Linked DNA regions of Pelodiscus sinensis. The protein of the gene in region 1 interacts with the protein of each later gene in a biochemical or structural test. Links are inferred from orthologs where the notes say so. Each region holds a gene or a part of one and is shown on either strand. Other genes may lie near its edges.

Region 1 (7,653 bases):
ACAAGCCGTGTCTTAACAATCAGGTCCAGGGTGTTTTAAATAAGGCACCCAAACCACAGATCCATGTCTGCATGGCAAAAGGGGCTTTTTACTGACACACACACACATGCTGCGTAGACTCAAGTGTATGAACTCATGTGGGATGCTCAGTCTCAGATCAGGATGAAACAATTAATGCTGAAAGCTGTGACAGCGTGTTGAACCGGCATCTCTGCGGGAAAGGTTAATATGCACCACTCAGATGCTCCCTCTGCCCCAGGCTTCCCTCTTGCCTATGGTGAGTCATAACAGTCTGTGGGCAAGGTTCCTCTGGAAGGGATAGGGAAATGCAAGAAGCTGTATAAATAATTCACTGTTCCAGGGTCTGGAGAGAGGAGACTAAATCCCAAGAAAACACGTTAGCAATAGCGTGTGAAATCCAAGTAGATCTGCTGGCTGGGGGAGGGGCTGTCACTCCTTGAACTTCCACTCCTGCCGGCACATGGGACAGTGCTGCTGGACCTGCTGGGAATTCAGCCACTTGAGAATGCAGTGCATGTGGAAGCAGTGGGAGCACTGGCCCCACACCAGTGGGCAGTCGTCTCCAGGCACCTTACCTGTAAAAGGACAAAACTCATGAGAGAGCGAGAAGGGCGCCCCGGGGTGAAATCCGGCCGGGGGCCAAGGGCCTGGGCTACTCACAGTCTGGGCAGCAGCCATTGAAGGCCATCCGGCAGATGCCACAGTTCTCATCATTGGCCACCCAGAGCCAAGAGGCTACCCCATTCCAGCTCTTTATCTTCACCTTCATCCTGCCGGCTTCTGCCTCCGGGGGTCAAGTCAGCACCTGGCATGAGAAGCAGCTACTCAGACTGAGTTTTATCATTAACCCTTTAGAACATCAGAGCGGCCAGACTGGGTCCATCCAATCCAGCATCCTGTCTTCACTGACAGGAGCCAATGCCAGGTGCTCCAGAGGGAATTGACAGAGCAGGGAATCATCATGTGGTCCCTCCTGTCGCCCATTCCCAGCTTCTGGCAGAGGCCAGGGACACCAGCCCTGCCCATCTTGTCTCTTAGCCACTGATGGACCCTAACCTCCATGAATTTATCTAGCTCTTTTTTGACCCTGTTAAAAGTCTTGGTCTTTACAACATCCTCTGGCAAGGAGTTCCACGAGTTGACTGTGGCTACGTCTATCCTGCGCAAGAAAATATGCAAATGAGGCAAAGCGGTGAATATCGCTATGCCTCATTTGCATACTTAATAAGCCACCATTTTTGCGCAAAAGCCATTCTTCCTGAAAAAAGAGCTGCGCAAAATGGCGGCTCATTAAGTGTGCAAATGAGGTGCAGCGATGTTCACCGCTTTGCCTCATTTGCATATTTTCTTGCACAAGACAGCACAGCATAGACGTAGCTGTTCTTGCGCAAGAATCCACAGAGCATACACACTGCCCGCCCGCTCTTGCGCAAGGAAATTTACAGTACAGCGTGGTAAGAGAGGGCTTCTTGCGCAAGAGCTACGCTCCTTTTTAACAGGTGTAAGCCCTCTGCACAGGAGCTCTTGCGCAAGAGGTCAGCGTGGACACTTGGCAGGGATTTCTTGTGCAAGAAAGCCCTATGTTTAAAATGGCCATCAGAGCTTTCTTGCGCAAGAGAGCGTCCACACTGCCAGGGATGCTCTTGCGCAAAAGCACAGCGCGCACATGGCAGTGTGGACGTGTTCTTGTGCAAGACTTCTTGTACAAGAAACCTTGCGCAAGATATTCTTGCGCAAGAAGCCTCCAGTGTAGACATAGCCTGTGTGTTTTGTGAAGAAAAACTTCCTTTGGCTTGTTGTAAACCTGCTGCCTATTAACTTCATTGAGTGACCCCCTAGTTGTGTTAAGAGGAGTAAATCATAGGTTGGTTCCCCTGCTGAAACAGCTTATATCCCCAGGGGCCATGCAATCTCCTTTGGCTGTCAGCACTGCTTCCTCCCCTGCGGCAGTTCAAAGTGGGATGTAGATGGGACTGTCCCTTCCTCCATAGCTCAGTCATTACTATAGAAACTCTGCCATAGGGAGCCTCTCATCTGAAATCTTCTAGGTTGGGCTTAGTGACCCTGCCTCATCACTGGGCACATCAGGAACCGTAGGTGCCCTTGTGTTTCCGGGCATGGAATGAAAATGGATCGCGACTCCTATTAGCATTCGGCACTTGATTACTGCAGACCAGGGCTGAGGCCGGACGGCTTCCCTGCTCCCCACGGGAAAGGTACTGGCACACACCTAACGCACCGCAGCCCCGAGAGCGCCACACGACCCGGAACGCAACACTGCACAGCTGCTGGGCGCACTGCACAAAGCCCCCCCCTTCAGGATCTCTATGGGGCTCCACGATCTCTGTCTGCTTCACCACCCTGAGAGAGTTCTGCCCACTCCCCTCTCTTTGCAGTCCGGGAGCCCCCCCCGCCCCTAGGGAACGCTCCCAGATCTCTGCCCCACCCCTAGGATTTCTTCCACCCCTACAGAGCCACCCCACCCTAGGGAGTCCCCCTGAGATTTCTCCCGCCCCTAAGGAGCCCCCTCCCGGAACTCTCCAGCCCCCCCTGCCCTAGGGAGTCCCCCTGAGATTTCTCCTGCTCCCCCTGCCCCCCAGGAAGCCCCCCCGATCTGCCCAGCCCCCACTAGGGAGCCCCCCCGATCTGCCCAGCCCCCACTAGGGAGCCCCCCCGATCTGTCCAGCCCCCCCGATCTGCCCAGCCCCCACTAGGGAGCCCCCCCGATCTGCCCAGCCCCCACTAGGGAGCCCCCCCGATCTGTCCAGCCCCCCTTCCAATAGGGAGCCCCCCCCGGATCTGTCCGGGCCAGGCCCCCGCCCCCCGGCACGTGCTCCGGCAGCTCCGCTCACACTCTCTGGCTGGGCCGGCGGGAATCTCTAGGGCCGCGTACCGGAAGTCCCGCCCCCGGCACCCCGCTGTCACGGCCTCGGCCCAACGGAGAGGCGTGTTAGGCGGCTGCGCCCTTCTTGGCGCCCGGGCCCGCCCCTTCCGCTTCCGGCGTCGGCGCAGCGCGGCCGGAAGTGCAGGCCCCGGAGCGGAGCCGCCATCATGGCCGACAAGATGGACATGTCGCTGGACGATATCATCAAGCTGAACCGCAGCCAGCGGGGCGCTCGCGCCGGGGGCGGCCGCGGGGGCCGGGGGCGCGGGGGCGCCGGCCGCGGAGGCGGGCCCGGCCGGGGCAGCGCCGGCGCGGGCCGAGCAGGAGGCGGCCCCGTGCGGAACAGGCCGGTCATGACCCGGGGAGGCGGCAGGAATCGGCCCGCGCCCTACAGCCGGGTACGGAGCGGGGCTGGCCCGCGGGCCGGATTGCGGCGCGCGGGGGCCGGGGCCGGCCCGGGGGCCGGCGGGGCTGGGGGCCGGGCCCGCGGGAGGCCCTTTGTTCTCGCCCAGCCGCAGCGGGCAGGGGGCGAGGAGCCGCGAGCCCCAGCGCAGTGGCGGGGGCCCGGCCGCGGGGCTTGGTCGCTGAGGGGATTTGTTCTGTTTCAGCCAAAGCAGCTCCCCGAGAAGTGGCAGCACGACCTGTTCGATAGCGGCTTCGGGGCTGGGGCTGGCGTGGAAACCGGGGGGAAGCTCCTGGTTTCTAATCTGGACTTCGGTGTGTCGGATGCAGATATCCAGGTAAGAAAGTGCCCCCCCCCCACGTCGGAAAAGCACCAGAGGTGACGCTTTGCGGTAGTTGGCATGTGCCTCTTTTCATCAATACTGTGTTTTCTGAGCTCTACGAACCCTTCCTCATGGATGGATACTGTGATCTCCAAGGCAGTTCACTTTGTATTATTATTATTATTGCAGCCAGCACTTCTGATTTGACTCTTTTGGTACTATCTGATGTGACTGGAGTGCAAAAAAAAGTTGTTTAGCTTTTCTCTAGTTTGTTGTATAATGAATGGCTGAGCAAAAGTGCATGTGTGGAAAGCTGTGATGTTTGGATCTGAAAATGTAATGTAACTTGTCCAAAATCTGAAACATGCAGATCCCAATAAATGCATTAATAGAATGCTTTACAGGGTTGCTTTGTTTAATTCTCTCTACTGTTAAGATCTTGCTTTTTGTCACACACATACACTGTCTCTTTTTCACATCCACTTTTCTTCCTCCAACCTGTCTTTTTTTCCAGTTCAGAACTCTTATGTTAGGCAAAACTTGTATTGGGTTGTGAGATCTCTAGTCAACTGAGGTGGGGACATGCTTTTAGGGAACTAGCGCAAAAAGCATATGGGTTACGTACTCTTCTACTATAGCATCTGTAACTATCATCATATTGTAAAGGAGCTAAGATCTCTCAGCTGAAATGTAGTAGCCCTTGTGTTTGCTCTACTTATCTTCTTTGAGACATGTCGAAAGTCTCTTAGGCTAGTAACCACTGACCATTGACAAATATATCCTAAAGTATTTTGAGTTAGCTTAATACAACTAAAGTGCAGGCTCACAGGCTTGAAGAATAGCCTCCCGCTAGTCACCTGGGTGCTGAGTCTCAAACGTAGGCCACTAACTTTCAATTGACTTTCATGGAAATTAGGAACAGAAATACCTATGATAATCTGGGTCCTAGTTGTCAAAGTGCTATCAGATGTGCCAATCCAGGTCTTAGGAGACTTAAGAGGTCTTTTCCAACACATTGTGCAAGTTAGAGGCCTTCAGGTTGGCAGGTCCTGATGAAATACATCCTTGAATACTGAAGGAGCTGTCTGAAGAGATCTGAGCCATGAACGATTACCTTTGAGAACTCAGGGAGGATGGGAGAGATCTTGGAGGACTGGCAAAGGGCACATATAGCACCTAACTCTTAAAAGGAGAATAAGGACAATCCAGGGAATAAACAATTTGCTTAATTTGGGAACCCAGAAAGATAATGAAGCAAGTATTCCATCAGTTTGTGAGCACCTAGATGATCATAAAGTGGTAAGTAATAAGCAACATGCATTTGTCAAACAAATTTCAAATCAACCTAATAATTAATAAGCCTTGTGGATAGGGCTGAATAGTGGGGTGATATATCTCGATTGTAATAAGACTTTTGATACTTTCTCACATGACCTGTTATAAGCAAACTAGAACTGTAGCCTCGATGAACCGACCTAAAAGGTGGTTGCGTAATTGGTTGGAAAACCACACTTCGAGAATAGTTAGGAATGGATCACGGCCAAGCTGGAAATTGATTGAAATGGAGTCCCTCAGGGATCAGTTTTGGGTCTGGTTCTATTCAGTATCGTCGTAAATTAATTGGATAGTGGCATAGAGCAGGGGTTTTCAGACACTGGGTCGCGGCTTGTAAGGGCAAATGACTAACTGGCCGTGAGATGCTTTGTTCACGTGCACCTTCGCAGCTCCCATTGGCTGATCTGTGGCCAATGGGAGCTGTAATTGACGGTAAACAGGATTAGAACACAAAATGGTCTCAACAAACCAGAGAAATGGTCTGAAATAAATAGGAGGAACTTTAACAAGGACCAATCTAAAGTATCACACTTAGGAGTGAATAATCAGTTGCACAAATAAAAAATGGGAAATGACTACCTAGGATGGACTACAATAGGGGAAAAAAATCTTGGGGTTATAGTGGATCACAAACTAAATACGAGCCAATGGTGTAATACTATTGCAAAAAAAGCAAACATCACTTGGGGATGATGTAGTAGGAGTGTTGCAAGCAAGACATGAGAGGTAATTTTTCCACATAGCACTGAGCCTCAGTTGCAGTATTGTTTCCAGTTCTGGGCACCACCCTTGGAAAAAAAATTGGAATTTTTGTTTTGTATAATGGAAGACAGGGGAGTGGAGGATAATAACAGTGTTCAAATGTGTAAAAAGTTTGTTGTAAAAAGGAGTGTGGTGTGTTCTGCTCCTCCCCTGAGGATAGGACAAGTAATGGACTTAAATTGCGGCAGGAGAGATTTAGGTTAGGCATTAGAAATCATTTTGTAACTGTAAGGGAAGTTAAGCACAGGAGCAGCTTACCCAAGGTAGGTTGTGGAATCTCCATCATTGAAAGTTTTTAAGAACAGGTTAGACAAACACCTGTCAGAGATTGTCAGATAATGGTCCTGCTTCAGCGCAGGGTTCTGAACTAAGTGACCTCTAGAGGTCTGTTTCAGGCTTACGCTTTGTTTTTCTGTTAAGCTAACTTGATTGAATTAACATAATTGAACACCACATCTTTTGTACTCAAGGCAGGACTGTGGAACTTTTTTATGAAACACCAAAATTAAATGAGTAACTTTATTTCAAATCAGTCCATCTGCACAGAATGCTTATTGTGGGATTGTTTAAATGGGAAATACTGTGATTGTGCACAGAGAAACATAGGAACCTCTGGTTTTAGGGAATATGCTTCCCAAGTCACAGGCTGAGCATTCAGGCTACATTCATTTGAAAACATCTGAGCTGCCCAAAGGAACTTGGTCTGGGTTGAGGTAGTGCTTTTTCTATTAAATGTAGCGTCAGCTTCAAACTGAAGCCTGTGCATTTGCTGCTGCATACATGTTTTGTATGGTAACAGCTGTGAAGAAAATATACTTATAAAATGAGGTTTAAGTGATTTGTCACCAGATCCTGGAATCATTGTGGATAATTCTCTGAAAACATCCACTCAGTGTGCGGCAGAGGTCCAAAAAAGTGAACAGAGTGTTAGAGATCATTAAGAGGGATAGACAAGAAGACAGAAAATATAATATTGCAACTATATAAATCCATGATATGCCGACATTTTGAATATTGAGTGCACTTATGGTCATCCCATCTCAAAAAAGTTATATTGGAATTGGAAAATTTTCAGAAAAAGGAAAGGAATATAATTAGCAGTCTGGAACAGCTGCCCTATGAGGAAAGATTAATAAGATTGAGACTTTTCAGCTTGGAAATGAAACAACTAAGGGCTGATATGCAGAAACCTTCAGATCTGTGGATTTATGCGGGTATTCGCATTTGTGGATATGGAGGTGGAGATCTGCAGCTCTTTTTTGCAAATGGAGATACAAACATTATATCTAGAACCCTGCATATTTACAGAAATCCACTTTATATCTACGGGTATCCACATCCCTGGCTGCAAATGCCGACTAGTGATGTAAAGGGTTAACCTGTTACATGCCCCTTGCTGGCATAAATACCAGAGTAACCAGTTAACTGGCAGGGGACTGCTCTGGCCCAGCAGCTCAGCTGGAGCAGCCCCCTCACCCATGTACCACCATAATGGGGGGCTGTTCCAGCCTGTCTGGGCCCATTGCATTGGGGGGAGAGATGCTCGAGCCCAGCCTGGCTGGAGCAGTCCCCCATCATAGAATCACATTATGCTTAACCGGTCATTAGCTTTTAACCAGGATTTTACATCCCTAATGTGGATATGAATTTTGCATCCCTGCTGGATTGTTGTGATAGAAGTCTATAAAATCATGACTGGCATGGAGAAAGCAAATAAGGAAGTGTTATTTACACCTCACAGCACAAGATCTGGAGGTCACTCAAGGAAATAAATAGGCAAGAGAAGTAAGTATTTTTTCACACAACACATAGTCACCCTGTGGAACTCTTTGCCAGAGAATGTCATGAAAGCCAAGGTTATAACGGGGTTCAAAAAAGAACTAGATAAACTCATGGAGGTTAGGTCATAGAATCATCGAGCTGGAA
Region 2 (7,192 bases), on another chromosome or scaffold:
ACACGTGCAGTTCTGGGGGCAAGGCCATCGCAGCTTTTCCTCCGGAAGGCCGGGCTTGGAGGGGCTGACGTCCGCGTGGCTGTGTTGGCAGGGTTAGGCTGCAGGCAGAGCGCAGGGGCTGTGAGTCTCATGGGGCGATGGAGATGCCAGCCTCAGAGAAGTGGGCAGGCGTGACCGGCCTCTCTGGGGAGAGCAGGATCGCGTTAGGCTGTAGGCAGCCTAGCTTAGTAAAATCGAAGGCTGGCAGCTCCCGCCCCACAGGGTCTGAGCCAGGGTTGATTCAAACTCCAGCCTCTCAGCACAAGCCCCTGGGAATTCGGTGCTATTGGGTTTTTCTCCAACAGATGGAAGCTCAAGTCCTGTGAGCCAGTGCGGCGGGAGGGGCCGAAGGTACGGTGTGCAGCCGGCAGGCTTGGCCCTGGGCTTGGCTCAGCAGAGCTCTGTGGAGCCCCGCTTCTCCCTTTGCCTCTGCTGTGATCGTCCTGCCACCCACAGGGCCAGAGGCCAAAACCGCCTGAGGAGCTGCACAAAGATCTCGGCAGGCGAAGTGATTGGGCCCCAATGGCAGATGACATTGGCAAAGTAGGCATAGCAAGGGTGGGGAGCCATGTAGCTACAGCTGCTCAGGAGAGATCCTGGAGCCTCCGGACAGTTCTCTGGGAACATCCTCGCAGCAGCGAGCAAACGAGCAAACGAGCACATAGAATGTGAGGAGTCCTTCAAAAATGATAGAATAAGACAGAGAATATCTTATTGCCTCTGTATAAAACCAGGGGCTGCCCACATCTGGAATCCTGCGTCCAGACGTGGTCACCTCATCTCAGAGAAGATCTCTTGGCACTGGAAAAGGGCAACAAAGTGACAAGGGGTTTGCCACGGGTCCCGTATGGAGAGAGATTCAAAAGACTGGGGCTTAGGAGACTAAGGGGGGCTAGGATAGAGGTCATCGCCCATAGGGGGAGAGTGTGGGGCTGGGCAGAGGCCTTTGTTTGCTGTGCCCATGCCCACAGCCTGCGAGCAGTCCCCAGTGCAGCATCTGGCCCCCTCCTGACTGAGCTGTCCCAGGGCAGCGCGTTCTGCTGGGAGGGCCAGAGAACCGCCCAGCCTGGTCGATAGGTAGAGCTGTATTTTCCCTCCATGGAACCCTTGAGCCTGCAGCTAGTCAGACCCCCCTACCCCCCAAACCAGTGGGGCCCCTGCTGGAGTTTCCTCCAGAAATCTCAGGCTCCCAGAGCAGGTGCGGGATCTGTTGGGTTTCTAATCTCTGCCCCTTTCCCAATGGCACTGTAGTGGGATCCATCCCGACTGACTGAGTCCACGACTTTTGTGCTGGGATCCCGAGCAAACAAGTAAGGAGGCTTCGGCGGGGGGCGGGCTCTGTGCCCCGTGGGTCTGGGGGCGGGGGGCTGCTCCCTCCCGAGTCACATCTCTCTGTGCCGGAGCAGAGCAGGCGGGACACGGCTCTGGGGGGGAGGAAGCCTCCGTATCCCCCAGCTGAGCTGCCCTGCTGCACAGGCCTAACCCTACCCCCCCCCCCATGTTCCTGTTTCAGGGCTCTTGGGATGGGCGGGACCAGAGGGCGACTCTACATCAAGCACCCCCACCTCTTTAAGGTCAGTAATGGCAGCGCACCACTTCCTCCTTTGGGGTTTGCTCGGGGGGGGGGGGAGCTGTTGCTCGGGACATGCTGCGGTGGGGGAGGGGGACTGCTCCAGACGTGCTCTGGGTGGGGGAGGTGTGTGTTTGCGCTCGTACGTTCTGCCCTCCCCGCGTTGCTGGCTGCCCCCTGGGGCAGGGACTCCAGCTCGTTGTGGGTGGCAGCTCACACCAGAGCTGGCATCACACAGCAGCAGTCTGGTGTATTTGCCTGGCACGGGAGGCTTTGCTTTGAGGCGTAAGCAAGAGGGGGCCAAGTCCTTGTTCGTAGGCAGCTCTCTTCCTGGGAGGCATGGGGTTGCCCAGGTTTCCCCAAAGGCCTGGCCCTGGCCCTGTGTCTCTCACGGGCGTTGGCCCGTGGTGGGGCTACGGAGGGCACTGTGGGGCTCTGACCTGGCTGCTCTGTTGCAGTATGCGGCCGATCCACAGGACAAGCATTGGCTGGCAGAACAGCAGCACATGCGGGCCACGGGGGGCAAGATGGTGAGTGTGGCCCGACCTGGGTGGGGACGGGGAGAGAATCGGAAGCCAGCTCAGAATCGAAGGGTACAAATCAGCAGAAGCCAGGGATTCCAGGGTCCCCAGTGAGCTGACGGGCGCGTCCCAGCGCCATCTGTGAGGCTGCTCTCTGCGCCTCGTCTCCTGGGGCTCCAGCCCGGGCAGGCGTCCGTTGTGCCGTGGTGGCTGTGCGAGCGAATGCGGAGAGCCCACTTCCCCTGGAGTGGCGGGAGCAGTGCTGCTCACAGCAGGCCCAGTCTCTTAAGAGGTGTGGGGGGCGGGTGCTATGTAGAGAGCTGGTGCCAGCAGATCTGTCTGAGTAGCCCAGTGGAACGGCTCCAACCATCTCTCGTTTGCCCTTGCTGCAGGCTTACCTCCTCCTAGAGGAGGATATTCAGGACCTGGCTGCCAGTGACGATTACAGGTGAGGCGAGGAGCCAAGACTTAGCGGTGCTGACCTCTTGCCCTCTTTTCTTACCAAACCAACAGCTGGGGAGCGGAGGGGAGGGGGCCAGGCAGCCAAGCGACCCTGCCGAGGACTGTGCTCTGCCCGCTGGCCTTGTGCCCACACTCGCCACTGGGATGCGGCATCATGGGCACACACAGGCTGCTGAGCTCTCCTGAACGTTGGGGTTCTCCCAGGGCGTGGGGCTGAACTGTCTGTCCCTCCCCCCACGGTCACTCCTGTCTCCCGCTTGCTCGCCAGGGACTCTGTTGACTTGAAGCTGGAGGAACTAAAACCTTTTATCCCGCCTGCATGGATGACTGAAAAGATGCAGAAGTACATGGAGACGCTTCGCCGGGAAGGGGACCCGCAGCCTCCAGAGGGAACTCATGAAACATAAGAAGCCTCGCCCTCCCTCCCACACGGTGTCACGGCATGGACTGGCGCAGGAGCGTCCTCATTTTCCTGTGTTTCACAAGGCAGAGGGGCTGTGGTTTCAGTGGCCTGGGTACCAGCAAGCTGCCCCCAGGGGAAAGCAGGGTAGCAGCTGTAATTGAACCTCCTGGGAGCTGTTGGGGCCAGTCCCCTAATTGGTGGTGGCTGGCACAGAAAGCAGAGTCACTGGCGGTTTCCTGCTTCTCATCAGAGCTGAGCTTTCGCTTGTGTGAACTTCCTGTTTTGGATCCTCTCCCTGTACAAACTGATTTGTAATAAATACACCTGCTGTGTCTATGCAAAGGCATTTACTGGGGGGGGGTCGCTGTCCGGGAAAAAGGGTGTATGGACCTGTTGCTTACATGGAGCTAATGAGGAAGTGAGACCCCCCCACACACACACTTCTGGGAGCTGGGCAAGAGGCCCCAGGAGCTGCTCCTGCCTCCTTGGGGCAAAGTTTCTGTAGTAGAATTCCAGGCCTGCCCTATTCCAGCCGGGCTGCTGCCCTCCCTCAGCGTGAAAGCGCCGCCCTGCTTCCTGCTTGGGATTTCAAACCGCCTGCGGCCGGCGCATCCTGCCTGACCTAGTTCCTGGGGGGGGGGGGGGGGGGACAAGGGGTCGGCGCCCCTGGGGGGGGGACAAGGGGTCGGCGCCCCTGGGGGGGGGGGGTCAGCGCCCCGGCTCCGGGGTCCCCTCGCAGACACCCGGCAGAGAGCAGGGGCACTGGCGAGCGAGCTCTCGTCCTGCCGTGCACGCCCACGTGTAACACGCCCGCTGGTGCCTGCAGGAGTGTCACGCCCTTGCACACGCGCGTGTCTCACGAGTCCCTGCGCCCGCAGCCGTGTCTCCTCTCCCCCCCCCCCCCCCTTACACTTCAAGACACGGGGGGGGGGGGGCACGTGGCTGCAAGAGTCGCCGGCGCTGCTGGTTCCTGGCCCTTTAAAGGCCCGGCCCCGCCCCTCCGGCCGATTGGCTGTTGCGTGCCCACTCGCCGCCCAGCCCGGTAATTGACGGGCCGTCGGGCCAGTCCGGGGGCCGATCGAGCCGCAGGCCGGTTGCCAGGGCGATGCGTCTCCGGCGAGCCGCGATTGGCCGGCGCGGAGCGGAGGGGGCCGCTGATTGGCCGAGCGCCCGGAGGTTTGAAACATTCAAACGCGGCGCGGGCGCGGGAGGGGCAGCGGCTCCGCCATGGCCTCGCAGAACGCGGATCCCGCCCGGCCCCCCGCCCGCAAGGGGCCCGAGCCCGGCAGCGCCGCCACGCGCGGGCCCGTGGGCAGGAGGTGACCGGGGGGGCGAGACCCGGGGGGGGCGCGGGTCATTGGGGGGGGCGAGACCCGGGGGGGCGCGGGTCATGGGGGGGGCGAGACCCGGGGGGGGCCGCGGGTCATTGGGGGGGGGGCGAGACCCGGGGGGGGCGCGGGTCATTGGGGGGGGCGAGACCCGGGGGGGCGCGGGTCATGGGGGGGGCCGCGGGTCATTGGGGGGGGCGAGACCCGGGGGGGGCGCGGGTCATTGGGGGGGGGGCGAGACCCGGGGGGGGGCCGCGGGTCATTGGAGGGGGGCGAGACCCGGGGGGGGGCCGCGGGTCATGGGGGGGGCGAGACCCGGGGGGGGGGCCGCGGGTCATTGGAGGGGGGCGAGACCCGGGGGGCTGCGGGTCATTGGGGGAGGGGGAGAGACGGGGGGGGCTGACGGGGAGGGGGAGAGACCGGGGGGGGCTTCGGGTCATTGGGGGAGGGGGACAGACCGGGGGGGGCTGACGGGGAGGGGGAGAGACCGGGGAGGCTGCGGGTCATTGGGGGAGGGGGAGAGACCGGGGGGGGGCTGACGGGGAGGGGGAGAGACCAGGGGGGGGGCTGCAGGTCATTGGGGGAGGGGGAGAGACCGGGGGGGGCTGACGGGGAGGGGGAGAGACCGGGGGGGCTGACGGGGAGGGGGAGAGACCGGGGGGGCTGACGGGGAGGGGGAGAGACCGGGGGGGCTGCGGGTCATTGGGGGAGGGGGAGAGACCGGGGGGGGGCTGACGGGGAGGGGGAGAGACCGGGGAGGCTGCGGGTCATTGGGGGAGGGGGAGAGACCGGGGGGGCTGACGGGGAGGGGGAGAGACCGGGGGGGCTGACGGGGAGGGGGAGAGACCGGGGGGGCTGCGGGTCATTGGGGGAGGGGGAGAGACCGGGGGGGGGGCTGACGGGGAGGGGGAGAGACCGGGGAGGCTGCGGGTCATTGGGGGAGGGGGAGAGACCGGGGGGGGGGCTGACGGGGAGGGGGAGAGACCGGGGGGGGCTGCAGGTCATTGGGGGAGGGGGAGAGACCAGGGGGGGGCTGCGGGCTGCCCCGTAGGGGTGAGGGGACCGATGCAGGGACTGTGGGCCGCCCTGGGAGGGGGAAGTGGAGGGGGCGCTGCTGGCCATGCGCATGGTGAATTGGGGGGCTGCTGGCCACGCCCACTGACCTGAGCCCACTCTCCCCCGCAGGCTGCAGCAGGAGCTGATGACGCTGATGGTGAGCAGGCACTGCTGGATGCTGGTCCAGGCTGGGGGGGTTCTGGCCCGCCCCACCCCGCTCCCTGCGGGGGCTCAGCTGACTCCCAGAGGTCCCCCCCCACCTGAGCAGCCGGTCACAAGCGGACCCTCCCTGCCGCTGACACGGAGCGGGCGGGGGCCTGGGTTCTCGTCTGTCAGAAGGCTGGTGGAGCAGGGGCTCCCTGGTACCTTGGCGGGGGCTGGTCTCACCCTGAGGCTGCGGGGCCCATGGCAGGTGGCCCCAGGCCCACCCTGGGGTGCTGTGTCTGCTGCTGCAGCTCCAGAGCTCCTTTGGGCCCGGCCTGCTGAGGGGGAGGGCCGCTGTCCCCCTGTCCCCTTGTGCAAGCGCCCCCGGGGCTCGTAACCCTGCGCCCTCTCTGCTCAGATGGCTGGCGACAAAGGGATTTCTGCCTTCCCCGAGTCGGACAATCTCTTCAGATGGATCGGAACCATTGATGGCGCCGCTGGCACGGTGAGCCCAGGGGGGTTGGGCGGGGGGCAGGCGAGCGAGAGCCCCATGGGGTGGGCACTGAGGCTGGGTTTCTGCTTTGGGGCGCACAGGGGCCTGCGTTCACCGTGCTTTGACCTGCCTTGCCCTAGGTGTATGAGGACCTGAGGTACAAGCTTTCCCTGGAGTTTCCCGACGGGTACCCCTACAACGCCCCCACGGTCAAGTTCCTCACCCCCTGCTACCACCCCAACGTGGACACGCAGGGCAACATCTGCCTGGACATCCTCAAGGACAAGTGGTCTGCGCTCTACGACGTCCGGACCATCCTGCTGTCCATTCAGAGCCTGCTGGGCGGTGAGGCTGCGTGGGCTTCGCAGCGCCGAGGCTCTGGCTGCGCCTTGCCCGCGGGCTGGGCGGCATCGCGTCCTTGCGCCCCGTCTGCCCGCGTGCGCTCAGGGGCAGGGCCAGCGGTCGGGTGTGCGAGGCCTCCGCGCCTGGGCTCCTCAGCGCTGCTGTGGTAGACTGGCCGCTGCAGCTAGCCGCGGGGGGGGCAGGTGCGCGGGTGGAGTGGCGGGGGGGTGATGCTGCACAAGAAGCCAGCTGGCTCCTGGCTGCGCGCTGACGCTCTGTCTCTCACCCGCCAGAGCCGAACATTGAAAGCCCCCTGAACACGCACGCGGCCGAACTCTGGAAGAACCAGGCAGGTGAGTGTCTCCCGTCCGGTCCGCGCTCTGCTGGCTGAGCTGCCTTCAGACCAGCGTGGGTGACGTCACCCTCCCCAGGGACGGCCCCGGGGGCTCAGCCTGGCCCTGCCGGGACCGGGTGAGTTCCTGGGCCCTGCGAAGGCTGCTCTGGCCAGCCGCGTGCGCAGCCACAATGGCCGAGCGGAGAGCCCAGGCCGAGCGCCCCGGGGGCCTGGAGTTCGCTGCTCCCCACAGCTCTGCCCTCCCTCCCTCCCCAGCCTTCAAGAAATACCTGCAGGAAACCCACGCCAAGCAGGCGAAGAGCCAGGAGACCTGAGGCCTGCCTGAGCTGCAGCTGTCTGTCTGTCTGTCCGTCCGTCCCTGTCTGCGCTCTCTGGACCTGTCCTTGCCTGCTCTGTACAGGACTCTGTATCATAGGCTCTTTTCCATTCACTCTGGCGGTGGGGCCCGCAGCGACTGTATAAATAAACTCTCGGTTTTT

What was found.
Region 2: the proteins of ANAPC11 (region 1) and UBE2C form a complex in vitro, tested with the Homo sapiens proteins (66 studies listed by BioGRID). The link is inferred for Pelodiscus sinensis from reciprocal best matches to the Homo sapiens genes ANAPC11 and UBE2C.

What each region holds. Positions count from the first base shown.
Region 1 is NC_134730.1:29,739,351-29,747,003, reverse strand, and holds the start of ANAPC11 (anaphase-promoting complex subunit 11), read right to left. Parts: upstream 3,004-7,653; 5' UTR 2,874-3,003; intron 2,387-2,873; exon of another isoform or gene 2,252-2,386; intron 827-2,251; 5' UTR 791-826; coding exon 682-790; intron 597-681; coding exon 451-596; 3' UTR 1-450. Other genes in the region: ALYREF (THO complex subunit 4), read left to right, coding at 3,073-3,303, 3,514-3,645. UniProt on the Homo sapiens protein: Together with the cullin protein ANAPC2, constitutes the catalytic component of the anaphase promoting complex/cyclosome (APC/C), a cell cycle-regulated E3 ubiquitin ligase that controls progression through mitosis and the G1 phase of the cell cycle.
Region 2 is NC_134728.1:1,312-8,503, reverse strand, and holds the start of UBE2C (ubiquitin-conjugating enzyme E2 C), read left to right. Parts: upstream 1-4,179; 5' UTR 4,180-4,222; coding exon 4,223-4,314; intron 4,315-5,508; coding exon 5,509-5,536; intron 5,537-5,941; coding exon 5,942-6,028; intron 6,029-6,156; coding exon 6,157-6,361; intron 6,362-6,651; coding exon 6,652-6,711; intron 6,712-6,968; coding exon 6,969-7,027; 3' UTR 7,028-7,192. Other genes in the region: DNTTIP1 (deoxynucleotidyltransferase terminal-interacting protein 1), read left to right, coding at 345-390, 1,291-1,349, 1,553-1,613, 2,068-2,139, 2,523-2,578, 2,861-2,999. UniProt on the Homo sapiens protein: Accepts ubiquitin from the E1 complex and catalyzes its covalent attachment to other proteins. In vitro catalyzes 'Lys-11'- and 'Lys-48'-linked polyubiquitination.